Linked DNA regions of Mytilus edulis. The protein of the gene in region 1 interacts with the protein of each later gene in a pairwise test. Links are inferred from orthologs where the notes say so. Each region holds a gene or a part of one and is shown on either strand. Other genes may lie near its edges.

Region 1 (15,500 bases):
GATGCAAATTAGTTAGACAACCAAATGTGCATTGTACAAATATCAGACAATTACATCTCAAAAATAAAATAATTGGAAGGCAGGCAAAACTCACTGCTTATATACCTATTCAAGGTTAAGGTTTAAAACCTGAATTATTCCTTAAATGAATAATCACTTACTAAAATGATGTAGCTTTTTTAGTGTTAATTTGGTATTTCGCAAAGTATAGATACAGAAACATTTACAATTATGAATCTGAAACTATACAGATGAAAAAAACTCGGTAATGCCCATATCTTTTGCTATTTAACTTAAATTTTACTTAAATTTTCTTTAGTTATGCCACACCAAAATAAACATGAATCATGACAAAAATATCACTTTTTCTTGGCAGTATGAACAATTGTATCTCACCTCTTTGACTCGTAGTTTTAGAACAACATCATTCTGTCTACTGTCTATAGGTTTCTTGGTTGTGGCCATATTTATCAGTGTTTATCTGCAAATGTACAGAAAATGAAAACAATATGTCAGAATAAAATGGGAAATGCATCATGTATATCAATGAGTCAGCTATGTGACAAAATACACATATTAAATGCACTACATTGCCAGTGGCGGATCCAGAACTTTTCCTAAGGGGGGGCCCGCTGACTGACCTAAGGGGGGGCCCGCTCCAGTCATGCTTCAATGATTCCCTATATAATCAACCAAATTTTTCCCACGAAAGGGGGGGGCCTGGGCCCAGCCCCCCCCCCCTGGATCCGCCTATGATTGCTGATACTGCTTGCATTGCCTTATGTTAACAATTACAACCCTCTAATCCTATTCAATGTACAAAGGGGAAAACAATCCCAAATGTAAATAAGTTTAAATATAGAGACAATATTTCATTGAATTCAAACTCATATGTCGAAAATAAACAGACAGACGTGCATGTAACACCATGACCAAACAAGAGGCACTCATTTGTTTGATGGGTTTTATCTTTTGATTTTGCCATTTGATTAGGGACTTTCCGTTTTGAATTTTCCTCAGAGTTTAGTATTTTTGTGATTTTACTTTTGTTAACTTATGGACTTGTAGGAGTCAATATTTGCAATTCTTTAATTTAGGTTAAAAACATGTATTTCTTGATTAAAACTAATTGGACTTATTCATTGTTATTGAAGTCATAAATTGTCTTAAATTAAATGGAGACAAATCTTTGAATCTACAAATTAAGACCTCTATGAGTCAAAAGCAGATTTAGACTTATTTATGTCTGAGCTCTGACTGTTTATATATAACTTTATTTTAATGAACTGTTGGATATTTGTTAGTCTGCAAAACTATACAGTTACAGTCTTTTGATGAGGTAAATATGTGGTTTTATTGACTTTTGAATAACTGATATACACTGAGGCAATGGAGGCCGAAGTGAATATCAGTTTTTTAAGTCAATTTAACCACATATTTACCGAAACCAAGGAATTGTATATTCCTTGCCGAAACAAAAGACAGTAATTGTTTTATTCCATATTCTGAGAGAAATGTATACATGTAATGGAATGTAATTACCAAAACCAATTGTACATCAAAGGATTTTTACCAAAATTATACATGTAAAAGTATGCGACATTTTGTGTGGTGAATAAACTTTTTCCTTCGGTGAATATGCTTATTTATTCAAAATCTGATTCATATATAGAAAACCCTATTAAAGTTATATCAATATGGAATAATCTAAGTTATTCTATAAAAAATCACTTATTGTCTGCCAGTAAAACACACAAAAATTTGAAAATGAATAGGTGAACTATAGGTGAAAACCGTAAAATCATTGAAAAATTATGTAAAGCAGTGATTTTTGTTTCCATGATAATCAAAAGTGTTTATTCTGAAAACATAAACTAAAACTCTATGCTAAATCAAAATGAATTGAAAATGTGAAATGTATGCGATCTTTCTTAATGCGACTTCTAAATACTAAATAAATTTAAAGTGTGTGTCTTACAAAACAATAACATTACAATAATAAATAGTCTAGGACATCAAATTGTGATCAAAATATTTCGTCCCAAACACAGAGGTTAGTAAAGTGTTGATTCTATCAAGTAGTTTGGCAACTTTGTACAATTCGAGTTGACCTTTCATTTTTATCTCACCTTGCCCGAAGGACCAAGTGGGCTTTTCTCATCACTTTGCGTCCGTCGTCCGTCGTCGTCATCGTCTTTTAACTTTTACAAAAATCTTCTCCTATGAAACAACTGGGTCAAATTTAACCAAACTTGGCCACAATCATCGTTTAAAAAATGTGTCCGGTGACCCGGCCAACCAACCAAGATGGCCGCCATGGTTAAAATAGAACATAGGGGTAAAATGTAGATTTTGGCTGATATCTCTGTATTTAGAGCAAATCTGACATGGGGTAAAATAGTTTATCAGGTCAAGATCTATATGCCCTGAAATTTTCAGATGAATCGGAGAACCTGTTGTTGGGTTGCTGCCACTAAATGGGTAATTTTAAGAAAATTTTGCAGTTTTTGGTTATTATTTTGAATATTATTATAGATAAAGATAAACTGTAAACATCATAATGTTCAGCAAAGTAAGATCTACAAATAAGTCAACATGACCAACATGGTCAGTTGACCCCTTAAGGAGTTATTGTCCTTTATAGTCAATTTTACAAATTTTTCGTAAATTTTTGTAATCTTCTACAAAAATCTTCTCCTCTGAAACTACTGGGCCAAAACTTAGCCACAATCATTATTAGAGTATGTAGTTCAAAAAATATGTGCGGTAACCCGGCCAACCAACCAAGATAGCCGCCATGGCTAAAATTAGAACATAGGGGTAAAATGTAGATTATGGCTTATAACTTTGAAACCAAAGCATTTAAAGCAAATCTGACAAGCATTTAAATTGTTCTATCTGCCCTGAAATTTTCAGATGAATTGGACAACTGGTTGTTGGGTTGCGGTCCCCCAATTGGTAATTTTTAAAGAAATTTTGCAATTTTTGGTTATTATCTTAAATACTGTTATAGATAGAGATAAACTGTAAACAGCAATAATGTTAAGCAAAGTAAGATCTACAAATAAGTCAACATGACCAAAATGGTCAGTTGACCCCTTAAGGAGTTATTGCCCTTTATAGTCCATTTTTAACAATTTTCATTAATTTGGTAAATTTTTGTAAATTTTTACAAAATATGTTCAACTGTAACGAAAGGGCCAAGTTTATTATAGATAGAGAAAATTGTAAGTAGCAAGAATTTCAGTACATAAGGATCTACAAACACATCACCATCACCAAAACACAATTTTGTCATGAATCCATCTGTGTAATTTGTTTAATATGCACATAGACCAAGGTGAGCGACACAGGCTCTTAAGAGCCTCTAGTTTGAATCTCAAAAAGTGGCGGGGTTTATTTCAAAATGCAAATAAAATCCGTATAGGTAAACTATACGATTGATAATAAGAGAATTGAGGATTTTAATACAAATTTATTTTAAAGAACGTTATCCACCGATTCCTTCTGCTTTGTACGGGCCGGCTAAACTCCATCGTCTACTTTCAAAGAATTCATTAAGTAACATTTCAGAGAATATTAGCGATTTCAATTTGAGTTCAACGAGTCTCGTTGATCCCTGATTTTAGGGACATTTGGTCAACTGGCATCAGATAACATTCTTTTGATGAATGCTGCACCTGAATCGAAACACTACGTCTAGAACAAATACGCTGGGGGTGATACTACATTTATTCGACCAAACATCTTTTATTATCTTTTGAAATTGAAGTTGATGTTTTTTTATAATGAAAGATATAAAAGATGTAAATAGAGGAGAGTGTTTAAGATGCGACGAATTTATTAAAAAAAGCAAAACAAGAACGTGATGATGAGCGTGATCCAAACAAAATTGTATATATTCTAATGTACTTGACGATGAAAAATATCCAAAAAGTGAAAATGTACGTCACACTAAAACTTAGAAACATGTTAACGAACTAAAATTAAAAAAACCAAACATAAATGACTTACAAAGGCCAGAGGATCCTGACTTGGGACAGGCGCATAAATGCGGCGGGGAGAAATATGTTATGACCATAATGTGATATCTCAACCCCCCTCTAAACCTCTAGCCAATGAAAATAAACAAACACACAGCAATACGCACAGTAAAAGTTCTTAAAACTCAGTTTAAAAGAAGTCCGAGTCCGATGTCAGAATGGGTAACCGTTAAAAAGAAATTAATAATTCATATGTTTCCAGATAGATTTTTTTTATAAACAAAACAAATAAGAGGGACTTCAGTATTATCAAAATTGCAAATAATTTGTTCGTTAACAGAATAGTTTTTTTAAAATGTCGTTAATACTTACAAAATCAAAAACCTTTATTGACATATTTGTTTTTAATCAAATGTTTTTTTTTGTTATCTTCAGAGCGAATTTTGAGAAACAGCTTAGAATAGTAATATGCAATTAAAATTTGAACGATTTCATACTTAGTTCAGTGTATGTTCACTTGTTTTTGTTAATATGTCTTTTTATGAGGGGGGATAGGAGGGGTCCTGATCCCGAAATCCAGGGCTTGAAAACACGAAATCCCGAGGTCCCGAATTTAAATAAAGTAAATCCCGACGTCCCGAAATCCAAAAAAAAATAAAAAAATTCCCGAATCCCGAAATCCCGAGCTTAAAAACACCTGATCCCGGAGTCCCCCCTCATTTATTGAGTTAAGCCATTCCAATTAATGTTTTATAGTGTATCTTTCTATGTTGTAATGTTACACTAATGTTTCAGGTAAGGGTTACGGTTGCTACCTATTTTAAAACGGTTAAACATGCTGCATATGTTTGCATCTGTATTAAGTCAGGGACCTGATGTTCGGTGGTTGTAAATTGAGTATGCGGTTCTTAAAGTGTTTCTCGTTTCTCATTTTGTATACATAGATTATGCCGTTGGTTTTCCTGTTTACTAACGATTGGTTTTAAAATAGTCAATTTTGGGGCCCTTTATATGTTGCTGTTCGGTGTTTGCTAAGCCGTCCCCGTGATGAAAAGCGTACTATATTGATTGATTGGTTAAATATTTCTCAGTCATGTCCTGTGTTTGAATTTGTTTATTAGCTTTTTGGTCATGAATGTTTGTCTCTAATATTTAATTAACTGTGCATTTGTATTCAGATATCGCAGATCAAATTTATTCGTTCATTGTTTAATCATACGTTTTTTGATTGAATTAAGTCTCCCAATTGATATTTTATCGTATGTTTTTCTTTGTTGTGATGTTATGCTATTGTTTCAGAAAAAGGGAGAAGGTTTGGATCCATTAAAACGTTTAATCCCGCTGCAAATGTTTGCACCTGTCCTAAGTCAGGAAGTAGTTGTCGTTTGTTTATGTAATATATACGTATTTCTCGTTTCTCGTTTTGTTTATATAGATTAGACCGTTGGGTTTCCCGTTTGAATGGTTTTACACTAATAATTTTGGGGCCCTTTATAGCTTGTTGTTCGGTGTGAGCCAAGGCGCCGTGTTGAAGTCCGTACTTTAACCTATAATGGTTTACTTTTTAAATTGTTATTTGTATGGAGAGTTGTCTCATTGGCACTCACACCACATCTTCCTATATCTATGACCTATAATGATTTACTTTAACAAATTGTAAATTCGATGGAGAGTTGTTGCATTGGCACTTACACCACATCTCATCATATCTAATTAGGTCTGCAATATGGAATATGCCAGTGTTGGAAATCAAATTTGATGTGATTTATTAACAGGCAAAGAACCGAAAGCTTTGTTAACAGATTATGTCTACTGTTGTTTTGTTTAAATAGTAATAAATGTCCGAAATATTTGTATTGTTCCTACGACTGAAATTTCTTTGATTGCAATTTATTTAACTCCCATAAGAACGGTTTTTACGATCAGTTTTAGAAACTATATTGTATCCAAAATGTTATTTATAGAATCGGTTCTTGATATGTTATCAATTCTCTTGATATTATCAATAAGACCGAGAGGAATGGCTGTCTGTATTTTTATGCCCCACCTATGATAGAAGAGGGGCATTATGTCTTCTGGTCTGTGGGTCCGTCCGTTCGTCCATTGTACAGTCCTTCCGTCAGTTCGTCCAATCTAATTAAAATATTGATCTCTGACTACGTTATACCTCATATGGATAGTTGTTAGATCTCATATGTAGTATAACGTAATCAGAGATTAATATTTTAATTAGATTGTCCGTTCGTCCGTCTGTCCCGCTTCAGGTTAAAGTTTTTGGTCAAGGTGGTTTTTGATGAAGCTGAAGTCCAATATCAACTTAAAACTTAGTACACATGTTGCTTATGATATGATCGTTCTAATTTTAAAGCCAAACTATACTTTTGACCCAAATTTCACGGTTCAGACCACTGAACATAGAAAATGAAAGTGCGAGTTTCAAGTTAAAGTTTTTGGTCAAGATAGTTTTTGATGAAGCTGAAGTCCAATCAACTTGAAATTTAGTACACATGTTCCCTATGGTATGATCTTTCTAATTTTAATGCCAAAATTAAATTAGACTTTTACCCAATTTCACGGTCCATTGAACATGGAAAATGATAGTGTGAGTAGGGTATCCATGTAAGTAAGTAAGTAAAACTTTATTTGGATTCGGCATATTGACAAACAATACAAACATATAAAGCTCAAATGAGCTTTTCACCGAATATAAACATATGCAATAACAAATAAAACAAGGCATGCAGTATCATGCAATAAATAATAAAAAGCAGCACCAAAAATTAACTCTAAGCAAATAGCATATCCATGTATCTTGCAAAATACCAGAACATATATATGAAGCACCAATTTTTTTTTAAATTTGCAGTTAAAAATATTTTTTTTTTTAATTTATGATTTATAAAGTAAAAATTTCAAATCTTTCAAATTTTAAAATGTATAAAACAAAATTTCAGTTGCAATGCAAGCTGTTAATGCAGCATAAAAAGCATAAATATTGTAACAGAAATTATCTACAGGCAGACTCGCAAAAACATTCCGTTCCACTCCAGGACTGCCGGAACAAGACTCTTAAAATGTGAGAAGCAGTCCTGAAATGGTCTGGTAAGCTATTCCACAAAGAAGCAGCAGCAAAACTAAAAGATTTTTTTCCACCTGAGATAGTTCTAACCTGTGGTATTTCCAAAATATTACTGTATCTAAAAGAATAGTTTAGTTTAATTTGGAGTAAATTTTGTAAACATACAGGAGCCAAATTATTTAAAATTTTAATACAATTTAATTCAACTATTTCGTACAGACTTTTTGATTCCCCATGCTGCTTTTTAAGTACTGTTTTAATTAGATGTTAAAACTTATTTGTCTAAAAATGTGTTCCCTGTTGTTGACTACATGTACCATTAATCCACCCTTTAGCAGAAGATGACAACCGGAAGTTTATTTGTTTTGCAGATTTCTTGGGTCAAAGTTCAAATATAGTTTCAAAAATTTCCTTAGCACTAAGATAAAACCTATTTTCTAATTTAGTTTGAATTGAGTATCTTAAATTAGTTTTATTTAAACAAATTTAAATCTGAAACTAAAGCAAAACAGCGATATAAGTCCCATTTGTTCAAATGGAAACAAAACAACAACGCCACCTATCGCTCAATCGGCCATTTTGAATGTTATTGGTAAGTTTGGTGGTCAAGATATAAATCCCCAGCCATCGGACTTATAGATAAACAAAGAACTCTCAAATTTTACAATCATTGAGTTGAAACATTTAATTACCTGAGAAAGTATTTATTTTACATTGAAAGATATGTTCCGTTGTAATTTAAGTAATAATTCATCCACTCTATAACGAAACAGCTGATTTTTTTTTTATAATTATTACCAAATATTTATTGCAAAGCCAACAACCTACGCGGATTTTACAAAAGTATATAGAGTTTTCATTATGTATTAAGTACGACTGTTAATTCAAGATATGAAAATTGTGCTGGAATTCATTAGAAAATATACGAACTCCCGAGACCGGTATAAATAACCGATTTCAATAAGACGCCAAAAAGAAATACCTTTCTGTAACCCGCATCAGGTTCCAGTAAGACACTCACCGTCTGCCAGTTATAAACAATGACAACCATAAATGAGGATGTTGAATTTGGATTATCTTTTTTTAATTTAACTCTAACTATAGTCTTTCAAAGAAATTTTGACCCCCCCCCACCCCCCCCCCCCCCCTTTCTCAACATCTATGTAGTTTTGAACTCGTCAAATTGTTGATGATGATGGAAGAAGGTCACACATTAGCTTATTTCGTCATAAACGCACAGTAACCAAAATAAAATCATTCTTGTAATTGTTTTATCCTCCTAACATGCCTAAAGGGATAGAAAAGAATAAAATTGATAGGTTCAAGAGTTTATTTATAACTGAAATACCGTGATTTACCATATTTTGCCAATTTCCATTTAATAAATTACATCATCAGCAAAAAAATTGTTTTATTCAGGCCAAATTTATATCAGAATGATATCATTGGCAATGTATTTGTTTTAAATTTAGTCCAAATAATTATGTCTGGCAAGGCTATTTTATTTTTTTCTGGGACACCTTCCTACAAAGTAACGCTGAAGCCATTTTTACGTCTGGACTTAGAGTGCAAATATTTTTGGAACTTTGAGACCTAATTTTGACATTTTCATTGCAGACTAGAAATTTTCACGTAGTTACAAAGTCCTACCTCTTTGTGCTTATTGACACAAAGTTTTCCTGAAATATTTAAAAGAAATGATAAAATGAGATATACTTCCATTTCAGTGTTCCAGCTAGGCCGTTTTCAGAGGGCGCTGCGCCCGCCCCAGTCTGCACGGTTAGCCACTAGTCCGATGCCCCAGACTAGTAAAATTTCATTCGGACTAGTAAGTTTTTGCAAAACTTTGTTTGGCCCAATAAGAAAAATGTCAGAATATTGGTCTTCGGACTAGTAGTTGAAAAAGTTTTTGGTGCAGACTGCCGCCCTTTTCCGAGTGGCGCCCTGTGCCCTTTTTACAGTTTCCAGGGCGCCCTGCCTTTTTTGAAGATTGATTGCATATTAATTTGCGTATTGATATGATACGCTAATTACTAAATTTTACCTGGGGAAAAGATTATGACTTTGTTTACCACCCCAAGCTAATCAATGGTTACAACTGGTGTCATAATCTGTTGTTATAGGTAATCCGTTTATCGGATGGGTCATTAATGATCATCAACATTAATTCGTTCAAATAGAATCGGTCAGTCGGCAATTATCTTTGAAGAAATGTGCATACAACAACTTGGGCATAATTTGCGATGTTTACCGTAGTTTCATGGAAGAAACGTAATGACAGAAAGTTGGAAAACCATTATAAACTCGTTGAAGACATTGTTTTACTTGTTTTCTGTAAAATAAACAGAAAATTCAGACGTATTTGTCATTGACTGCCTTCATTTTTGATACGAAAATAATAAAATCGGCCGCCATATTGTGATCATATTTACATCATATTTACGTACTGTTTATAATCCTCCAAAGAAGGAGCACACCCGAATAAAGAAAGATAACTCAATCTGATTTTTTTCCTAGCATTGAGTAACCCATTTACATATTCTAAAATGTGTCTCCATACTTCTTGCTTAAGAATATATATGTTTAGGTATTTATTTTGAGTTATGGGAAAAGTTAAAGAGGGTCTTAGTAGCAGTGTTGGTAGGGTGCCTTGGTCATCTTTTTCTGTATTCTTTATTTTTGATACTATTTTTCACTGTTGCTTTATATCCTAAAATTGTGAATTTACTGAGCACAGCTGTTTTGTGCTGTATTGCCATCAAGCACAGCAGGGGTAGAAAGGTGAAACTGGTAAAATGTGGTAGACCATAGAAACAGTATGAAACAGATCTCCTTTCAAAACATACTGCATATAAAGTTCAACTGTGCCAAGCAATGATAAAAAAACTTGTGTGACAAGCTGCTTGACAAGTTTTTCAGCCTTAAAAGTAGAAAGATAGAGTTCTATATGGGCTAAAGATGTTGTTCTTGTATAACCTGTGATTCAACGAATAAACACAAATGTTTGATTAACATCTTTTATTAAAATATGCCCTTTCATATTATCATATCGCGCATTAAATGCCCTTTTTCAGGATTGGCACCCTGCCCTTTTGAAAACCTAGCTGGAACACTGCATTTGTTATTTTGAGGTGGGCAAATATTTATTTTGTTTTTCAATTAATTTTCCAGAATCTAAAGAAACTCCACTTCCAGTGAAAATAAAATAGAATATTAAACTCGGTCAAATCTGATGGACCCAAATTTCCAGAATGTTGGATTTACATTATCCCGCAATTCGGGTCACCAATGTTTCATATATCAAAGTGGGGTTACTACTGGGAAAAAAATCTTTCAATCTTTTAAATGCAATTTACATAGGTTTTATTTTGTGTATTTTCAGATTCAGATATCGCTGATGAGTTTCACATAAGTGAATATTTCGCTGCGTAAATAAATAAAAAGGAGTTTTGGATACATAAATGATGGCTTCAGCCAGAATGGAACAAAATATGAACCACGCTGGACCTCCACCCATGGATGGGAAAGGGAATCCTGGCACAGGGTATGGTCAATTTATGAACAACCAACAGAGAAAAGTGAAAATCAAACAATTTAAGATAATCAATGATCATGCATGAGTGAGAAATTAGTTGTAAACAGCAATAAGACAGCAATTCTAATGAAAGTAATCACAAAGCATTCTTTAATAAGCAACCACAATGAATTGCATATATTTTGAGATCACATATATTGATTACATACAAGAACTATTTTTAGCTAAAACTAAATCTTAGAAAACATGGTAAATATCTTGCTCAAAGATTTTGACAGCTACACATTTGTAAAAGATATGAAAATAAGACTTGTATGATTGTCAATGAGACATTCAACTAGAGACCAAATGATATAAATGATTTTAAGTAACCGTACAGCTTTCAGCAATGAGCAAAAACCCATTCCACATAGCTTTAAAAGACCCTGAAATGACGCATATAAAACAATTCAAACAAGAAAACTGATGACCTGATTTATGTACAAAACAATGAATGAAAAACTAAAGGATATTCTTCAACAAGTCATTGAATCACTTAGTACTGAATGTTAAAGGTTACACAAGTTTTTTTTTATGCCAAACCTGATCACCCTAACCTGGGACAGTGGCATTACAGTACAACATTAGAACTAACTATGAAAATAGTTCTAAAGGGTTAACTCATTAGATTGATACAAAGCAAAAAGACATACCCAACTTGGCAGAGTATAAATACGTTCCCACAACAAAAAACAACATGTTAAGTACACATCTGAGAGTAGTTGAAGTTACTTAAAGCTATTTCAAAGCAAGGCTTTCCAAAGAAGGCGGTAGACGGCAGATTTCCACAGTTTACAGTCGCTTCAAGTGCAAGCTACTTCACTGATAAAAATATAAATTCAAAAAGAAAAAATATCTTTTTCAATTGTTTTGTTCTTTTTCAATTATTTTGTTTTATTTGTGCCAGAGCTTCTGGGGGCCTTCAGCGGCCCCCCAGACCCCCTGCCATTTTGCCCCAAGCTGTTAAGCTTGGGCGTTTCGACTTCGCCGAATGCATGTTACAGCCACCTGCCACCTATAATTGTAATTTAGCCTACTACTTCAATTTCAAGGGAAAGTCCTGTCAAAGCCTATACGACTTATTAAAGGATTTCCTTTTTCATTAATTTTACATTTTTTGTTTGGAAAAAATTATGACCAGACATGTCAGATGAACTAAATTTCTTCAAAATGAGAAAAGAATTGTATTCAGATTTTCTTTAATGTTAAGTGAGTTATCTGCTATTGTCTTTCAGTGACCAGGGTTGGAAGTCCAAATTAAAGCTTCCTCCAAAGGATAACAGAATCAAGACGACTGTAAGTATAGTAATTAGGAAAAAATATTTACATTAGGTAAATTACAAAGGTTACCAACCTGTACAGCAACCTGATTTATAGAGTTCTTTAGACACTTACAAGTTATGTTGAAGGATTTTCCTTAGAGTTCACTACATAATATTATATATGATGTACATAATATTTTATGAACATGAAGTAGTTGTATACTTTACCTATTTGATAAACAAGACGATGAGAGAGATGTACATTGTACATGTCTAAGAATCTTTGATGATTTTGATTTTCTAAACTGATATATTGAATCTATGCATTTTGTCATTTGGACATTTATTCTGAATATTTTTTATTCCATTCAATGAAGTAACATGCACATTTGTAGCCTATTTAGTGTATATTTAAGCCTTTCAGTTTCAAAAGCAATGATGTGCAATTTCTCTGCTTTTTAGGATGTTACCAATACAAAAGGGAATGAATTTGAAGATTTTTGTCTGAAGAGAGAGCTTTTGATGGGGATTTTTGAAAAAGGATGGGAATCACCATCACCTATACAGGAAGCTAGTATTCCTATAGCACTTACAGGGCGAGACATCTTAGCTAGAGCCAAAAATGGTACTGGAAAAACTGGTGCTTATACTATACCAATATTAGAGAAATGTGACCCTTCAAGGGATGAAGTTCAAGGTAAAGATAAACTAATCTACTATTTTGTAAAGCTGTAATCTATAACAGGTTAAATGTCATTTGCAAAAAATGTTGATGTATAGGTTGACATGTTGACTTTATTCCATAAGACTGCAATCACAACCTACCAAGTACCAATACACAGAGATCAACATCAGACATTTTGTCTATACAATATGTCAAGTCTTAATTCACTGTTTTATGGTCATAGAAATATCAGGCTAAATTAATATTTGTAGCCTCTGGTATTTGTACATGTAACTTACAAGCTTAGTCTACAAATTAAGCAAACAAAAGAATGACACCATTAAAACAGTCCAAACTTACAAGCTTAATCTACAAATTAAGCAAACAAAAGAATGACACCATTAAAACGGTTCATAAATTATTATTTTTTAAATTGACGAAATTTTTGTTCATTTTTTACAGCTATGATAATTGTACCTACTAGAGAACTTGCCTTACAGACTAGTCAGATTTGTATAGAAATTAGTAAACATTTAGGTATCAAATGTATGGTGACTACTGGAGGAACCAATTTAAAAGACGATATCATGAGATTATATGAACCAGGTAAATATTATATACACTGAATGATGATGGTTGATACAAGTTTAGTCAGCATAGGTGGGTAATGTTATGAAGGGAGATAATTTCTCAAATTATAGAATTGTTTTAATTGAATATCAACTTATGTTTGAAATAAAAATTGTAATTAAAAAATAAGTTAAGTAAATAACACACTTCAATCAATTTTAAGTCCAGTATTGTTGACTTCATGACAGAGCAGACAGACTATACTTATTTTGGAGAACAATAATCTCAGTTGTTAAAACTTCAGGCATATTTCTAAAGTGATTATGGTTAGGTTTAATTTTCCAGTATTAAAATATTGTCTTTTGAGTTGAAATAGCTACCAGATAATTTTACATTTAGAATCAATATTTATATTTGAATTTTAAGTTTAAATTCAAAAACATTGTCATTATAGTAAACTACAACATATACTACAGTTAATATTAGATGTTTCTGTTAATAGCCGGATTAAATATTGTCTAATTTATTTCAGTTCATGCCATTATTGCAACACCTGGTAGAATTTTAGATCTGCTGAACAAAAACCTTGTCAAGATAGGAAAGTGTGGTATAATGGTGTTAGATGAGGTAGGTTGTTAAAGGTTACAGTGCAATTATAGTAATGTTTATGTAGTATTATAATGGAATAATATGCATTGTCCCTTTAGGGCTGTTCCAGAAAATACTATGTCCCCCCCCAGGGACGGCACTTTTTTTTTACCCCCACCACCCATAGAAATCAATTAAATTTTTAAACCACCACCAATAGAATTTAGATTATGTCAAGACCAACAACCTATGGAATCTTAAAAAAAATCATTGAAACCCACCACCCATAGATTTTTTTTTCTGTCAGTTTAGAAAAATATCGGAATGATGCTATTTTCCATAGATTATTAAAGGTTTTTCACAATGTTTTGGCTATCAGCATGAGAAAATGTGCAGTCCTAGTGGTCGGGTTGTCAGTTTCAGCACTTGGATGTGTTACGTGTCCCTTGTCTACACGCATTCATATTCATATTTCAACTTAAAATTCCAGAAATGTATCCAACCAAAATGAACCGAACCGCAACCCTTGTATAGAAAATCAAACCAAACTGTTAGGTAGGCGTATTGTTACAGCCCTAGCTAGCGACAAGTTACCAAAACAAATTCAACATGCATGCAGTAATTGACAATTGGCAAATCACCTTTGAGATCAGTTTTACAAATCACAATTCAGGGTAGGGCTAAACCATTTGTCACAACAGTCCTGTAGGCCTTGGCAGCGTATGTTTTGCTAGCCTTTCATCCATTTGTTCTTTGAATCCGTTTCAACAAAGTCAAAGATTTAATGAACCTAACAGATTAAACCACAAAGTATTGTTAGCTTTGTACCCCCAAAATTATCATGCAATTCAAGTTCTACATTTTCTGTAATTGGGGGAGACGGGATTTAACATTTCATATTTTGGAAACAGGGATTGCAGGTTTCTTTTTGGAATTCAGTTTTTTTTTTACCTCTCCCCCTCCCTTAGTTAAACGTCCAGATCAAAACATCGAACTATGCACTTTTCCTGGATCAAACATGAGGTTAGTCTTTGAAAAATATTTGTCTAGTATAAGGCTAACCTCTACAAATACTAGACCACTTATCTTTTCTGGTTTTACTTTTTTGTGGCATAGCCATCGTTAGTTGATCGATCGTTCCAAGTTAAAAAAAAAATAGGGGAAAACGCAATGTTTGTTCTGTTTTTTTACTTGTTTGCTTAGGTACTTTGTGTATCGTGTTTGTGTATATTACCTGCTAGGAATATGGGGAACTCCATCATCTGACGTTCCTGGGAGGTTGTCCATGTTGCTGTTTATACATACATGTCAACCTCTGACAATGGGAAATCATGTCATGACATAACATGATATGTCAAAAAGCGTGTGAAAACGCGTGACGTAGATGCGGACTTGTTAATATGAATGTGGTAATGTTCATAATTTCATACAAATTTGTGAATACAAAAAAACAATATATATTCTACTTTGAACTTTTATTGTATTAAACAGTGGTCTGTTATGTTGCTTTTAAAGCACCACCACTAGGCACATATTCAAAACAACTGCCAGTTTCAATTTTAGTTACATTTATTTGATAACAGCACACAATACAAATGTAATATAGTCAAGTTCGGATCAGAATTCAGTGTTAATTTCTTTATAATTGAAAAGGCTCTCTCACAGTAGGAATTGATATTGACTGAATTAGCTTCATCAAGATTTGAAAGAATGTCATAATGTTTTTTTTTTTTTGGCAATGTAAAATGTCATCTATAGATTATCTCTGCCATTGCTCCCA
Region 2 (16,210 bases), on another chromosome or scaffold:
ATGTTGTATAGAAGCATTGTTACAAAATGTAGCTGTACATGTCTGCCTGGCATTGTTTATCTGACCTTGACCTCATTTTCAAGGTTCATTGGTCTTTGTTTAGTTATCTTGGTTAATGTTAAGTTTATGGTACAGTTGTTATAAAGCTTAGCTTTATACTTAGGACTATCAACATAATATCAATGATTAGTATAGAAGGCGAGACATTTCAGCGTGTGCACTCTTGTATATATGTTGGATTGACTTGGGCCGGAGGATTTGCTGGTTTGACATTAAAGCAAAACATACATGTACATACATTGTATATAGGCTAATACTGGTAATAGCAACATAACATGTTCTTTGAGTCTTACAATGACTCCTCTCATTTCTTGTATTCAAGCATGCTCATCATTTTTCAAAAGCTAATGTCCTTGAACATCATCAATCAATAAATGTGGGAGATGGGATTTTACTAGGTTTTAACCTGTGCATATTGTGGATGTGCAATCTACTAATGAGTCAACAAGTTCACATGAATCATGAATGATCTATTTGATAAAAGGGTGCAAGATGATTTGCTGCATGAAACAAAAACTTCTACTAGCACTTGCTCAATTCAGGGCTAAAAAAACTTTAAAAAAAACTCCAGGGGTCACAACTGTTATTATATAACGTCTAGTTCTATATACATGTAGATATAATAAGATGTAATAAGTCTGTTGGAAACAATTAAATCATACCAAATAAGGCTAAAACCTCCTTGGTGAGAGTTAGGCTTCCACTTAATAGAATGATTAAAAAAAAATTGATGTTCATTCGGTAGGTAAGGGGTTACAGTCGAAATGGGTTTTGAAAGCATTCAAAGGTACATTTTGTAAGTTACAAACAAAATTTAGCTAAAAGTTGTTTTAAACACCAACACAATAATGTGACTGTTTTTTGTGACAAAATATTATACGACCGTGACCCCAAAATTTTTGTGGTCATATATTGGTATGATGATGGCGTTGTCGTCCGAAGACATTTGGCTTTCGCACTATAACTTTACTATAAGTTAATAGAAATCTATGAAATTTAAACACAAGGTTAATGACAACAAAAGGAAGGTTGGGATTGATTTTGGAAGTTTTGGTCCCAACAATTTAAGAATTAGGGGCCATTAAAGGGTCCAATAAGCATTTTTTTTGGTTTTCGCCCAATAACTCTAGTATAAGTAAATAGAAACAGGGCTCACGCTACCAGGCGACTTGGGCGAAGAAGTCGCCTTCCCGACCGTCACTTCGCTTTCCCCGACCCCCAAAAGCGAAATCAAGTCGCCCTGTTCTTGACGATACTCGCTTTCAGTCGCTTCCGTCATCGGACATTTTCAATTTTTACCAAGTTGATGAAACATCAATTTTTTATTGATAATTAAAGAAATTCAGACATAAACGATTCATTATCTTTAGAAAAGAAGTTGAAGCATTGTCTTCGCAGTGTGTAGCAGGTTATTTGATAAAAATACAACTTTTTATCACTTCATGCATTTTCGCAAGTTCCGGTGCTTGTTACTCGAAAACGTACATCAACCTAAATTTCGGCGGCAAAATAAGTTTGTTACTTCATTTAAACGTGATAAAAGTTGCCTCCAGTAAATGTTTAATCCATTTATTGCATTAAAAACGTCATGTTCCTTTTCAAATAACTTGTCAAACATCGTTTATTTTTGTAAATTTTCTTGCATTCGTCCGCCATTGACCGATTTCTAAACTACGGATCTGAACCGGACCAGCTATGACCGAAATCCGTACTTTTACGATAATTACTACGGACGGACGGACGGAACAGCTGACAGAAGAATATTGATCCCAAAGGGAAAAATTACGCATTCCACACACATTAAGAGACTTTTGGTTACATCTAATTGATTCTTGTATATAATTCCCTATATTTTTTGGATTGTTTCAAACTATTGATTAAAGTTGCTTAACTCTGATACTATTATACTAATTTCAATATATTATGGCCCAGCTGAATATAACTTTTATATTTTTTTTTATGAGAAACACTGAATTTCATACACAAGATAATTTTTAATTAAATTGTAATAATTATATATTATAATTTCTTTACATTTTTTAAAATAATTTTTTTTTTAGTGCTAGATATTTAGTTGGAATAAGTTTCTCACAAGAACCTTAGTAAAACTTAAACAACTTTTAATTTCAAATGTTACTTTAATTGTATTTTTTTTACTCGGATATGAATTGAACAATATAAAAAGAACATTATTTACATATATATGGCCCTTTATACTATTGTAAAATCCAAACATTGTAGCGCACCGCACGAATGAGCACTTCTCTTTCAAATCTCACCACTTCTCCCTATCAGTTTCAAAAAGAGAAGTCACTTCTCCCTATAATTCTGAAGTAGTGTGAGCCCTGAGAAATCTATGAAATTTTAACACAAGGTTTATTGCCACAAGGAAGGTGGGGATTGATTTTAGGAGTTTTGGTACCAACAGCTTAGGAAATAGGGGCTAAAAAAGGGCACAAATAAGCATTTTTTTGGTTTTCGCACAATGACTAGTATAAGAAAATAGAAATCTATGAAATTTAAACACAAGGTTTATGACCACAAAAGGAAGATTGGGATTGATTTTGGGAGTTTTGGTTCCAACAGTTGAGAATTAGGGGCAAAAGGGTTTAAAAATTAAACTTTGTTTGATTTCATAAAAAATTGAACTTTGGGGGTTCTTTGATATGCCGAATCTTATGTACTTAGATTCTTAATTTTTGGTCCCGTTTTCAAATTGGTCTACATTAAGGTGTTTAATTTTAACAAAAATTGAATTCTTTGGTTTTTTTTTATACATGTATGCTGAATCTAAACATGTACTTAGTTTTTATACAACCCCAAAAAAATTTTGGGATCGTATAATGGTATGATGTTGTCGTCTGCGACGTCATAGTCCGAAGACACATTGGTTTCCAGATAATAACTTTAGTTTTATTTAATAGATCTTCATGAAATTTTTTCAGAAGGTTCAATACCACAAAAGGAAGGTTCAGATTGATTTTGGGGATGATGGTCCCAACCGATTAGGAATTAGGGACCAAAAGGGGCCCAAAACAAGCATTTTTCTACTTTCAGGATAACAACTTGTGTAGAAGTATTTCATTTGCTCTGAAATCATACTGCAATGTTTAAAACCATAATTAGAAGGTTTGGATTCATTTTAGGGGTTATGGGGCCAAAGTTTAGGAATTAAGGGCCACAAAGGGGTCAAAACCAGCATTTTTCTAGTTTCAAGACAATAACTTATGTGTAATTGTATGGATCTCTCTGAAATTGTACCAAAATGTACCATATAACAAAGGGGAGGCTGGGATGAAGTTTTGGGTTAATTGCCCAAAATATGTAGGAATTATGGGCCAAAAAAGGGCCAAAAAGAGGCATGTTTCTAGTTTCCAAACAATCATGACAATAACTCGTGTTTAAGTGTATGGATCTCTCTGAAATTGTACTACAAGGTTCAATACTGTAATGGAAAGCATGGGATTATTGCTCCAAGGTGGTTTCAAAAAGTTTGGGGGGGGGGGATTTTTTGGTTTACCATTTTTTAAAGGTCTTCCTTTTTTAGCTCACCTGGCCCAAAGGGCCAAGTGAGCTTTTCCCATCACTTGGCGTCCGGCGTCGTCGTCCGGCGTCCGTCGTCGTCGTCCGTCGTCGTTAGCTTTTACAAAAATCTTCTCCTCTGAAACTACTGGGCCAAATTAAACCAAACTTGGCCACAATCATCATTGGGGTATCTAGTTTAAAAAATGTGTGGCGTGACCCGGTCAACCAACCAAGATGGCCGCCACGGCTAAAAATAGAACATAGGGGTAAAATGCAGTTTTTGGCTTATAACTCAAAAACCAAAGCATTTAGAGCAAATCTGATATGGGGTATAATTGTTTATCAGGTCAAGATCTATCTGCCCTGAAATTTTCAGATGAATCGGACAACCCGTTGTTGGGTTGCTGCCCCTGAATTGGTAATTTTAAGGAAATTTTGCTGTTTTTGGTTATTATTTTGAATATTATTAGCTCACCTGGCCCGAAGGGCCAAGTGAGCTTTTCCCATCACTTTGCGTCCGTCGTCCGTCGTCGTTAACTTTTACAAAAATCTTCTCCTCTGAAACTACTGGGCCAAATTAAACCAAACTTGGCCTCAATCATCATTGGGGTATGTAGTTAAAAAAATGTGTGGCGTGACCCGGCCAACCAACCAAGATGGCCGCCATGGCTAAAAATAGAACATAGGGGTAAAATGCATTTTTTGGCTTGTAACTCAAAAACCAAAGCATTTAGAGCAAATCTGACATGGGGTAAAATTGTTTAGCAGGTCAAGATCTATCTGCCCTGAAATTTTCAGATGAATCGTACAACCCGTTGTTGGGTTGCTGCCCCTGAATTGATAATTTTAAGGAAATTTTGCTGTTTTTGGTTATTATCTTGAATATTATTATAGATAGAGATAAACTGTAAACAGCAATAATGTTCAGCAAAGTAAGATTTACAAATAAGTCAACATGACCGAAATGGTCAGTTGACCCCTTTAGGAGTTATTGCCCTTTTTAGTCCATTTTTAACCATTTTTCGTAAATCTTTTGTATCTTTTACAAAAATCTTCTCCTCTGAAACTACTGGGACAAATTAATCCAAACTTGGCCACAATCATCATTGGGGTATGTAGTTTAAAAAATGTGTGGCGTGACCCGGCCAACCAACCAAGATGGCCGCCATGGCTAAAAATAGAACATAGGGGTAAAATGCAGTTTTTGGCTTATAACTCAAAAACCAAAGCATTTAGAGCAAATCTGACAGGGTAAAATTGTTTACCAGGTCAAGATCTATCTGCCCTGAAATTTTCAGATGAATCGGACATTCTGTTGTTGGGTTACTGCCCCTGAAATGGTAATTTTAAGGAAATTTGGCTGTTTTTGGTTATTATCTTGAATATTATTATAGATAGAGATAAACTGTAAACAGCAATAATGTTCAGCAAAGTAAGATCTACAAATAAGTCAACATGACCAAAATGGTCAGTTGACTACTTTAGGAGTTATTGCCCTTTATAGTCAATTTTTAACCATTTTTCGTAAATCTTAGTAATCTTTTAGAAAAAGCTTCTCCTCTGAAACTACTGGGCCAAATTTAACCAAACTTAGCCATAATTGGGGTATCTAGTTAAAAAAATGTGTCCAGTAACTCGGCCAACAAACCAAGATGGCCGCCATGGCTAAAAATAGAACATGGGGGTAAAATGCAGTTTTTGGCTTATAACTCAAAAACCAAAGCATTAAGAGCAAATCTGACAGGAAGTAAAATTGTTGATCAGGTCACAATCTATCTGCCCCTGAATTGGTAATTTTGAGGAAATTTTGCTGTTTTTTTTGTTATCTTGAATATTATTGTAGATAGAGATAAACTGTTAACAGCAATAATGTACAGCAAAGTAAGAACTAAAAATAAGTCACTATGACCAAAATAGTCAATTGACCCCCTAACGAGTTATTGCCCTTCATAGTCAATTTTTAACAATTTTGTTAAAATTTGAAGATTTTCAATAACATTTTCCACAGAAAGTACTGTTATAGATAGAGATAATTGTAAGCAGCAAGAATGTTTAGTAAAGTAAGATCTACAAACACATCACCATCACCAAAACACAATTTTGTCATGTATCCATCTGTGTCCATTGTTTAATATTCACAAAGACCAAGGTGAGCGACACAGGCTCTTTAGAGCCTCTAGTTATAGATAGAGATAAACTGTAAACAGCAATAATGTTCAGCAAAGTAAGATTTACAAATAAGTCAACATGACCGAAATGGTCAGTTGACCCCTTTAGGAGTTATTGCCCTTTATTTTCAATTTTTAACAATTTTTCGTAAATCTTAGTTATCTTTTACAAAAATCTTCTCCTCTGAAACTACTGGGACAAATTAATCCAAACTTGGCAACAATCATCTTTGGGGTATCTAGTTTTAAAAATGTGTGGCGTGACCCGTTCAACCAACCAAGATGGCCATGGGCTAAAAATAGAACATAGGGGTAAAATGCAGTTTTTGGCTTATAACTCAAAAACCAAAGCATTTAGAGCAAATCTGACATGGGGTTAAATTGTTAAGCAGATCAATATCTATCTGCTCTACAATTTTCAGATGAATCTGACAACCCGTTGTTGGGTTGCTGCCCGTGAATAGGTAATTTTGCTGTTTTTGGTTATTATCTTGAATATTATTATAGATAAAGATAAACTGTAAACAGCAATAATGTTCAGCAAAGTAAGATTTACAAATAAGTCAACATGACCGAAATGGTCAATTGACCCCCTAAGGAGTTATTTTCCTTTATAGTCAATTTTTAACAATTTTCATAAAATTTGTAAATTTTTATAAACATTTCCACTGATATTACTGGGCCAATTCATTATAGATAGAGATAATTGTAAGCAGCAAGACTGTTTAGTAAAGTAAGATTTACAAACACATCACCATCATCAAAACACAATTTTGTCATGAATCCATCTGCTTCCTTTGTTTAATATTCACATATACCAAGGTGAGCGACACAGGCTCTTTAGAGCCTCTAGTTTTCAAAATTTTTCAAATTTCAAATTTAAAAAAGTTTCAAGAAGAAATCTCCAATTGCACAGTATTGTGCAATAGATTTGTTACATCTTTGACTACATTAATTTTGTGACAAAAACCTATATTATGTCAAAATTTGATCACAATCCAAATTCAGACAGAATCAAGCTTGAATATTATGACCAAATTTGCCCCAACTGTTCAGGGTTCAACCACTGGGGTCGTACAAAGCTGTGCCCTGTGGAGCACCTGGTTTGATTATGGGCCCAGTTTTCAAGTTGGTTCTAATCGGGGTCCGAAATTAAACTTTGTTTGATTTCAACAAAAATTGCTCAGTATTACACAATAGCAAGAAATCTTCAATTGCACAATATTGTGCAATAGCAAATATTTTCAATTGCACAGTATTGCACAATAGCAAGAAATATCTAATTGCACAATATTGTGCAATAGCAAGAAATTTTCAATTGATTGGAGTTATCTTTCTTTGTTCAGAATAGTAGTTGAATCAACTTAAATCATTGTTTTATACAATATACAATGTATATTCACTTTTACTACCAACTGATAAATTAAAACAATCTTAGAAATTTGAATTGAGATCAGTTTTGGAAAAAGGGAAAGGGGAAAGGGGGATGTGAAAAAAAATGGGGGGGGGGGGGGGGGGGGTACATTTTTCTCATTTCAGATTTCATAAATAAAAAGAAAATTTCTTCAAACATTTTTTTGAGAGGACTTATTCAACAGCATAGTGAATTGCTCAAAGGCAAAAAAATTTAAAGTTCATTAGACCACATTCATTCTGTGTCCGAAACCTATGCTCTGTCAACTATTTAATCACAATCCAAATTTAGAGCTGAATCCAGCTTGAATGTTGTGTCCATACTTGCCCCAACCGTTCAGGGTTCAACCTCTGCGGTTGTATAAAACTGCGCCCTGTGGAGCATCTGGTTCAAATCTTTTATGGTGAAAAAATTATAATCACATGTGCAATTTTATTGTTTTGTTAATGTTTAAATTGTAGAAGAATCTAAAGATTTAGGTCTTGATAGATTGATGTAGTTCAAAAAAACAAATTTGGTTAGGAAGTAGGACAACCTACGGTAAGTTTTTCATTCACATGTCTAGAAATGATTGTCATGCCCAGAAGGGATATTCTTGTCAGGTCACAGTGGTTGGTATGCTGGTACATCTGATGTTCAGTATATAACTGTCTTACACAGGATTATAATATGCTATACCACCTGAGTCTTGGCTCAAAAATACGGGTAAGAGGAAAATGTTTTAAAGAGGTATTTTGGGGAATAGACTTATTTAACACCAAGGAATTTTGACAGCCAGTCTAATGTATGTCTATTAAGATTTTATAGCTTTTTCATACATATTTTCTTTTTGAGATTATGATTTATAGTTATACATTTTTTATATCATTTTTGAAAGGTCTTATTTAAAAAGCTCTTAAACCCTAAAAAGACCTTATATTCATACAGAATAAAAGACTTTTCTTTGTCAGATTTTAGTATTATTTGCGAAAAGTACTTATTTCATATGTGTTTCTCTTTTATAAGTTGTATAAAATTGCATTCATGGATTACTTGAAAGTTACAGTAAGATAAAGTTATTTTCACTTACAAATAATGAATTATGTATGCATTTATTATTTTGTTGGATACATATGCATTTGTAGGTACAGAACAAAATATAAAATTTCAATTGAATTATTTATTTCTTGTCTTGAATTGAAATAGAGACTTTTTTTTTTTTTTTAATTTGAAGGTACACAATGTAGAGCTATTTTGTAAATATTGACAAAAGAAATAAATCTGCTGATTTTGTTAGACATTGCTTTAATTCATTTCTCCATAAATGAAAAACTCTCCATGACTGTATTTCTTTACTTTTAAATGAAAATTTATTGTTATGAAATGGAAAGTTACAGATGACAAGTGACTGTGATTACAAAATTCTGACATGGAATTGAGGTCTTCAACCTTCTTGGGAGATTTATTTTTAGTTCATTACTGGCCAAATTTCAAATGGACATGGTATTCATTCTGAACAATAAGATACTATTTACATTTATATTTCAGGAGTTACGGAATGACACAGAAGAACAAGTTGATGAAGTAGAAGAAGTTGAAGGCGAAGAAGATGAATCTTTATCACCAGAACTCTTAATCAAACATCCACTTCAAAACAAATGGGCCTTGTGGTTTTTCAAAAATGACAGAACGAAAGAATGGACAGCGAATCTAAAATTGGTTACGGCATTTGATACTGTAGAAGATTTCTGGGGGTAAATTATATATTTATTAGTTAAAATTTTAATTTAAAACTTAATTTCTAGTAGAAGTGAAAATAGAATTTAAAAGTTTATAGAGCAGAGTATTAGTTCTAATTGTTTATTGCGTAATTTAAAAAAATAAATTTAAATGGAAATTCCATATTTAGAAAAGAAAAAAAAAGTACAGTTATTAAGATAAGGCTGTGCATAAAAGTGATTTTATAATTATACCATACTCCATAGGTGGGGGTTTATACACATTTACTTATGTCTGCCTGTCTGTTTTTCCATCCATAAACTTCTGGTGAACCACTCGCTTATCAATGAATGGCCATGTCCCATTTTTCAAATCAAAGCTTCTTAAAATTGGTATCAAGCTATTTGTGAGCTATTGCTATATTCTATTAAGATGTAAATAAATACATACAGGTAAATATTTTGTGAATTGTAATTATTGTTTTAGTTAGGAAAATTATTTTAATATCAATTTTAGAATATTAAAATCTTATTAGCATACACAGTCTTTAAATTGTTAAAGCTGCATCTCTATAGTCAACAAAACAAAACGAAAAATTTGTATTTGAAAGTGCATGTTTTTTTCATTAATGTCAAATAAGTTTTATATTAGAATTGCATTAAAAGTAAAATTTATTGTGAAGTAAAATGAACACATGAATGCACTGTAAATAAAATAAATATTAAAGCAGTTAGTATTTTAATTAAAATGCAAGTCACAAGTTATTTTTGTGATGGTTAAGCATGAAAACTGAGAGTAAAGGTATATAGTAGGTATTAAAATAGAATTTATCTGTCAGAAATGGTTGTGTTGTGACTGGGTTGTCAACATTTGATGGATTATACCATTTAGTGTGACATGTCTTCTAGCCCACTAACCTATAAACAATTATTTTGTTTATTGCACAATGATGAGGAAATCTTGCAATCAATAATGTCCAAATATGAATTATTGTAAAATACTGATATTGGAGCTATTTTAACATGTTTAATGACAGAAGGCTATTATAGGGAAATGCTTGTTTTAATATGTTATATTTATTTATTAAAATTTCAAACTTTGCTAGACACACCCAGAAAAATAGAAAATTAACGTCATGTCATACCCATGATGTCAAGGATATCTGTATTATTATTTGGATGCTTATTTACATTCCCTACCACCCTTGCCTCTTGGTAAATAGAGAAAAAGAACAATTAGTAGAATAACAATATAATCATGTTTCTGAGTTTGAAGCTCAAGTTTGAAGTCAAACTTAACCCGTAATGTTGTTTGGTTATATTAAAAGACATTCAATTTCAAGTTGAAGATTGTAATACATTTACATTTCACTTGGACAATGTGTTTTGTAAACACAGATAATTTATTCTGATTTTAACATGTACAATGTTGATAATTTTAGATTATATAACCATGTACAGAAAGCAAGCAAATTACCCTCAGGCTGTGATTACTCATTATTTAAGGTAAATATTGAAGGAAAAAGAAATTATTTTCTTGTTAGCTTTTATTACATGTATAATTTAACTCTATATGTTATAACATCTACCAACCTGTTATATGATGATAGTATGTGCGTACCTGATCAGATAACATAGTCTGTCATATTTAAAGATCTACATACTTACATTAGAATTTTTTTCAATATAAAACATACATATATTCGGGAAATGGACTACTTCGAGCAAAAAAATAAGTCTGTATGATACGGAGAGTAATCTGAGACTCAAGTCACAACCACAATGTCTAAATCTAGTAAACAAAATGTTGGTGCCAGTACTGAAAAAAAGCTTTTTATTATTCAATAGAACAGTCAGGACTCTACTTCGTCAAAATTATCTCCCCATTACGCCAGTTCATTTTCACATTCGTAGAAATGGAAGCCATTGTAGGGATGACACGCTGCCAATTTTGCTCTTGGCAACCGACAAATTTATCCACATTGCACCATTACGATCCTTATATGTCAGTTGTATTTTTAAAGACAAATGTATCAACTAGCTAATGAGCATTAGTTAACGATCTATTGTCTGATCGGTTGTCAGGTGGAATTTTCGAAAATTCATAAACATTAAAAAAAATTTGAATTAAATATTTCCTGGAAGGGCAGACTAGATTTGTTTAGTGATTGAAGACTATAAACCCTAGTTTTCACACACAAAAAATTATAATTTTTCGAAGATATGCATTTTCATCATCCAACTTGAAAGACTGTCGTCAAGTACTTTCAGTAAAAAATAGCTATTCGAACACACCTACTCTGTTTTTGTGATTCATTAGATAGGTATTTCACTTGACCCATATATTTAATCTTTTAGTACTGTGATTTTTTTATGTTATAAAGTCGACCTGTAGCTTTGATATATAAAAATGATAGAATCTGAAGCGAGACGATGTATGAAATATTCTTACTTTGTACGATATCAAGACAAAATATTCAACTCAAACACGCCCGAACATAAAAAGGTGCACTCGATTTTCTCTTTTTGATGCAATTGTTACCCATTTTTTGAAATTTTTTCTTGAGTCACATAATGGAAGGGCAGACACGAAAATTACTGAACTAATAGATTGATATGTTTTCCGTCCGTGGTAATTTTTTTTTATGCATTTTCTACATCCAACTTGAAAGATACCCATGTCGTCGACTTGATATCTAATTGTTCTGCTTACCTATGTACTAAATAAATTGAAAACTTATGCAAATGGTGTTTTCAAAATAAAACACTTCATAATTGAGAAGAAAATTGTAATTTTGTTTGTTTCTATTAACTTTTAAAATTTTTGTCACTATAGTAAACATTACAGTAAGCATTTATCGCCTTCTCTAACAAAGAGCTTCAATTCTTTTGTTCTATTTCAACCTGGTTTCCGACTGAGAATGGTCTCCTTTTGCATGATTCTTAGAAATCTTAGAAACAGCCATTTCTACAATTATTAGATGCCACTATTTAGACATATCACATGTACAAATATTTCTGAAATGCATTAATATGTGGTCCCCACAGTCACAAGGATGATTCGAATTTGAATTAGGCTGTATTGTTAAAGGTCTGTTTGCCATTGATGGGGTTATTTTGATTATCCTGAATTTACAAGTAAACATTTGTCCTATTCATTTAAGGATGGTGTTCAGCCAATGTGGGAAGATGATGTTAATAAAGATGGAGGAAGATGGTTAATTAATTTAGAAAAAAATAAACGATCAACAGATTTAGATAATTTTTGGTTGGAAACAGTAAGTATTTTAATACATGGACTGGTCAAGTATCAGAAATAAACAGATTTGCATTCATTTTCTTAAACAAAAAGTTTTTTGGTAAATACTTATACTTGATATTTGGGGCATCTGAAGACTTGCAACCATTGCCTTTAGATAGATTAAATATGTGGTTAAGGCCTTAAGTTTGGGACATTGGAGCACTTTTCCTTGAGTATACCCCTGGGTATCATCATTGAGCAGTAGCTGACAGTTTCACTTTTTATTTATTGTTTTGAATAAACTCAGCATCTGTAATTTTCTAACACAATTATCAAAAAGTGCAAGCTTTTGCTGTTGCTTGCCAGCCATCGGTCATTGTATTGTCCACTTTTATCTTACTTTAGAAAAAATCTGAAATATAAGGACAATACTGAACATTTATCATTTAAAGTTAGGATATAAATTTCATTTTTTACGATGCTTCATAAGATACATGTATCTTGGTGGGGAAGATTTAAAGACAATCCAGAAGGAGTCACGTTTAGATGACCTTCGTGTAAATTTTTGATCGACTGTTACTTTCTAGCTGACACTTTCATTGGAACATTTTTTAATGGAAATAGATACAAACCCATTGAAATAAAATAGAAGATACTGCAGGTATATATTCTTAAATCATATCGAAATGACTATCTAATATTTAATTCTTATTTCAGTTATTATGTTTGATTGGTGAAGCCTTTGAAGATTTTAGTGAAGATGTTAATGGTGCTGTTATTAATATTAGGAATAAAGGAGACAAATTGAGTTTATGGACGAGGGATAGTAGGAGACAGGATGCTACCATGAAAATAGGGTACATATACACATAGCAGTGCTATAAATTTGTGATGAATGATCCAATTTTGATATTTATTAATCATAGCACATGTCATTATACAATAGAGTGATGATATCGCATAAACTTTTGATCACTTGATAGCAGTGGATTAAAAACTGAAACCACTACCAGAAATTTTTAATAGTTTGACACTTTGAAATCATTACAAGGGACTTTTTAATTGATTGCACACTAAGAAACCTCTACCAGGGATTTTTAATGGATTTGACACTTTGAAATCATTACAAGGGACCTTTTAATTGATTGCATACTCAGAAACCACTACCAGGGATTTTTATTCAGTTGACCACCAAGAAACCATAACCAGGGATTTCTAATCTATCTCTTAGGGGCAATTGTAATAGTCTTTTTATGTTTACAGTTTTTAGAATAATTTTCTCTACAAACATAATTGTTAAGCTATTCACATTATGATCATGGGTGTAATTGCTATTTGTTAGATTTACACATTAATCTTTTTTTGCAGAAGAAAATTAAAAGAGAGACTACGAATACCAAACAAATTAGTAATAGGATTTCAGGTAAACTATATCATTGATATATATGACATATTTGTCTTTTGCCCATGAATGCTATCAATAACTAAAATTACATATTTTGGTTTGTTTATCTCCCCTCATACTGCATTTAAATACCATTAATGTTAACCAAATTACAACTTTAATATAAGTTATCTCCCCTCATTCTGCATTTAAATACCATTAAGGTGAACCAAATTGCAGCCTTAATGTAAGTTATCTCCCCTCATTCTGCATTCAAATACCATTAAGGTGAACCAAATTACAGCTTTAATAAAAGTTATCTCCCCTCATTCTGCATTCAAATACCATAAAGGTGAACCAAATTACAGCTTTAATATAAGTTATCTCCCCTCATTCTGCATTCAAATACCATTAAGGTGAACCAAATTACAGCTTTAATAAAAGTTATCTCCCCTCATTCTGCATTCAAATACCATTAATGTTAACCAACTTGCAGCTTTAATATAAGTTATCTCCCCTCATTCTGCATTCAAATACCATTAATGTTAACCAAATTGCAGCTTTAATATAAGTTATCTCCCCTCATTCTGCATTCAAATACCATTAATGTTAACCAAATTACAGCTTTAATGTAAGTTATCTCCCCTCATTCTGCATTCAAATACCATTAAGGTGAACCAAATTACAGCTTTAATAAAAGTTATCTCCCCTCATTCTGCATTCAAATACCATTAATGTTAACCAAATTGCAGCTTTAATATAAGTTATCTCCCCTCATTCTGCATTCAAATACCATTAATGTTAACCAAATTGCAGCTTTAATATAAGTTATCTCCCCTCATTCTGCATTCAAATACCATTAATGTTAACCAAATTACAGCTTTAATATAAGTTATCTCCCCTCATACTGCATTCCAATACCATTAAGGTGAACCAAATTACAGCTTTAATATGAGTTATCTCCCCTCATTCTGCATTCAAATACCATTAATGTTAACCAAATTACAGCTTTAATATAAGTTATCTCCCCTCATACTGCATTCAAATACCATTAATGTTAACCAAATTACAGCTTTAATATAAGTTATCTCTTCTCATACTGCATTTAAATACCATAAATGTGAACCAAATTACAGCTTTAATATAAATACAAATATAAAAAAGTATATTTACAAATTTGAAAGAACACAGATTTGAAATATTTTAGTGTTTCAGTGTAAATGCTCAAATCACTATAGCTTAAAAAAATTCTACTGAACATTCAAGATGTCTACCATCACCACTTTACTCCGATAAACAGCAATAGATACTATGGTGAACAGAAGAACATAGACATGATACAAAGGTACACATGGTGATAGCAAAACATGGACCTAACCGAATATGATAAATGGGGTTGGTTATTTTGTAACCACAACTCATTACCATCTCGATGAATTTTAATACAAGATTCACAGAATCTTTATAATTTGTTAATTCTTTTTTTACAAGTGACATCAACTTAATGCCTTTAGATGAATGGTAATATTCATTAATTGATACCATTGTACATCTTTTCTTTTCTTTAATTTCTATTTTTATTTTTTAGTAAAACTGTAACAATCTTTTGATTGTGTTCATTTAATATTACGATAGTTCAATTACAAACTTTTTATTGCTGTAGTTTCAATATGGTTTGTTGCTGTATATTTCAGGCACATAGAGACACCATCTCAAAATCAGGATCTACAGCAAAAGATAGATACAGAGTATAACAGTAGCTGTGGAAGAGGTGTGATTGTTTTGTGTGAAAGATGACCGTACATCTCTTTATAGATGATATTTATTATACTGTAAAACATATGTTGATTTAATTGTTTTTATTGAAGTTGAAAAGTATCATTGTCTTTGTTGTTAAAGCGCTTAATTTTTTGGGGGAATCACAAACGATATATTATAGTGCAAGGGGAAATGGATTTGTGGTTTTCATTGCATGCTATGATAGAGAAGGTTTGAAAAAACCCTAATATTTAAAACAATCTATATAAATAAGAATTAAATAGAATTCCATCTTCTGAAGTTCAGTGCATCTCACAAAAACAAAAAATATGATCAGTGTGGGAATCAAATTATGGGAGATTGGAATCACAGTTTTATTTTGTTATTCCAACTTGAAACAATATAAAGAATATTGAGTAGATTATAATTAAGTGTTTAAGTAGGGAATTCAGTGTGTAGGGCATCCATTTTAAAATGTTCATACCTTTCTTGTTTTTTATTTTCTATATTTTCAATAGCCTTCTTTCACGTCCTATGAGAACACAATTCTATTTTAATACAGATGTAATATTTCAGAGAGGGGGAAAAAAAAGAATTTTAAAAGAAAAGCTGAATTTGGATTATCAATTTTAAAGAAGCCATAGATTATAGGCAATCTTTATTTGAACTTTCTTACTTTTAACTTCTATTTCCTATCAAGATATACTTTTTGTTTGTGTTTTTTTCTTTCTTTTTTTTTTTCATGTTTCCATTTAGAATCGTGTTTGCTACTGTAGTTAATGTATATATTTGTCTATAAAGAGATGATTGTGTAAGATACATGAAGTATAGTCATGTATAAAATTTATCATTGGAAGAAGTTACATAATGCTTGTAAGTTGTTATTTAAGGATACAGTGAAGTGGTACATTCTCTTTCTAAATAAGTGCCATTCGAAACTGCATTTATTAATTTCTTCATTTA

Evidence for each region.
Region 2: the proteins of ATP-dependent RNA helicase me31b-like (region 1) and eukaryotic translation initiation factor 4E-like interact in binary tests that used the Drosophila melanogaster proteins (3 or more experiments, as listed by UniProt). The link is inferred for Mytilus edulis from reciprocal best matches to the Drosophila melanogaster genes me31B and eIF4E1.

Annotation. Positions count from the first base shown.
Region 1 is NC_092348.1:71,997,663-72,013,162, reverse strand, and holds the start of ATP-dependent RNA helicase me31b-like, read left to right. Parts: upstream 1-7,412; 5' UTR 7,413-7,654; exon of another isoform or gene 7,655-7,762; intron 7,763-10,444; 5' UTR 10,445-10,523; coding exon 10,524-10,606; intron 10,607-11,871; coding exon 11,872-11,932; intron 11,933-12,360; coding exon 12,361-12,595; intron 12,596-13,024; coding exon 13,025-13,168; intron 13,169-13,664; coding exon 13,665-13,759; intron 13,760-15,406; exon of another isoform or gene 15,407-15,500. UniProt on the Drosophila melanogaster protein: ATP-dependent RNA helicase which is a core component of a variety of ribonucleoprotein complexes (RNPs) that play critical roles in translational repression and mRNA decapping during embryogenesis, oogenesis, neurogenesis and neurotransmission.
Region 2 is NC_092352.1:11,374,839-11,391,048, reverse strand, and holds the start of eukaryotic translation initiation factor 4E-like, read left to right. Parts: upstream 1-7,755; 5' UTR 7,756-7,836; coding exon 7,837-7,872; intron 7,873-8,694; coding exon 8,695-8,900; intron 8,901-10,306; coding exon 10,307-10,370; intron 10,371-12,028; coding exon 12,029-12,142; intron 12,143-12,822; coding exon 12,823-12,962; intron 12,963-13,473; coding exon 13,474-13,528; intron 13,529-15,183; coding exon 15,184-15,243; 3' UTR 15,244-16,210. UniProt on the Drosophila melanogaster protein: Recognizes and binds the 7-methylguanosine (m7G)-containing mRNA cap during an early step in the initiation of protein synthesis and facilitates ribosome binding by inducing the unwinding of the mRNAs secondary structures.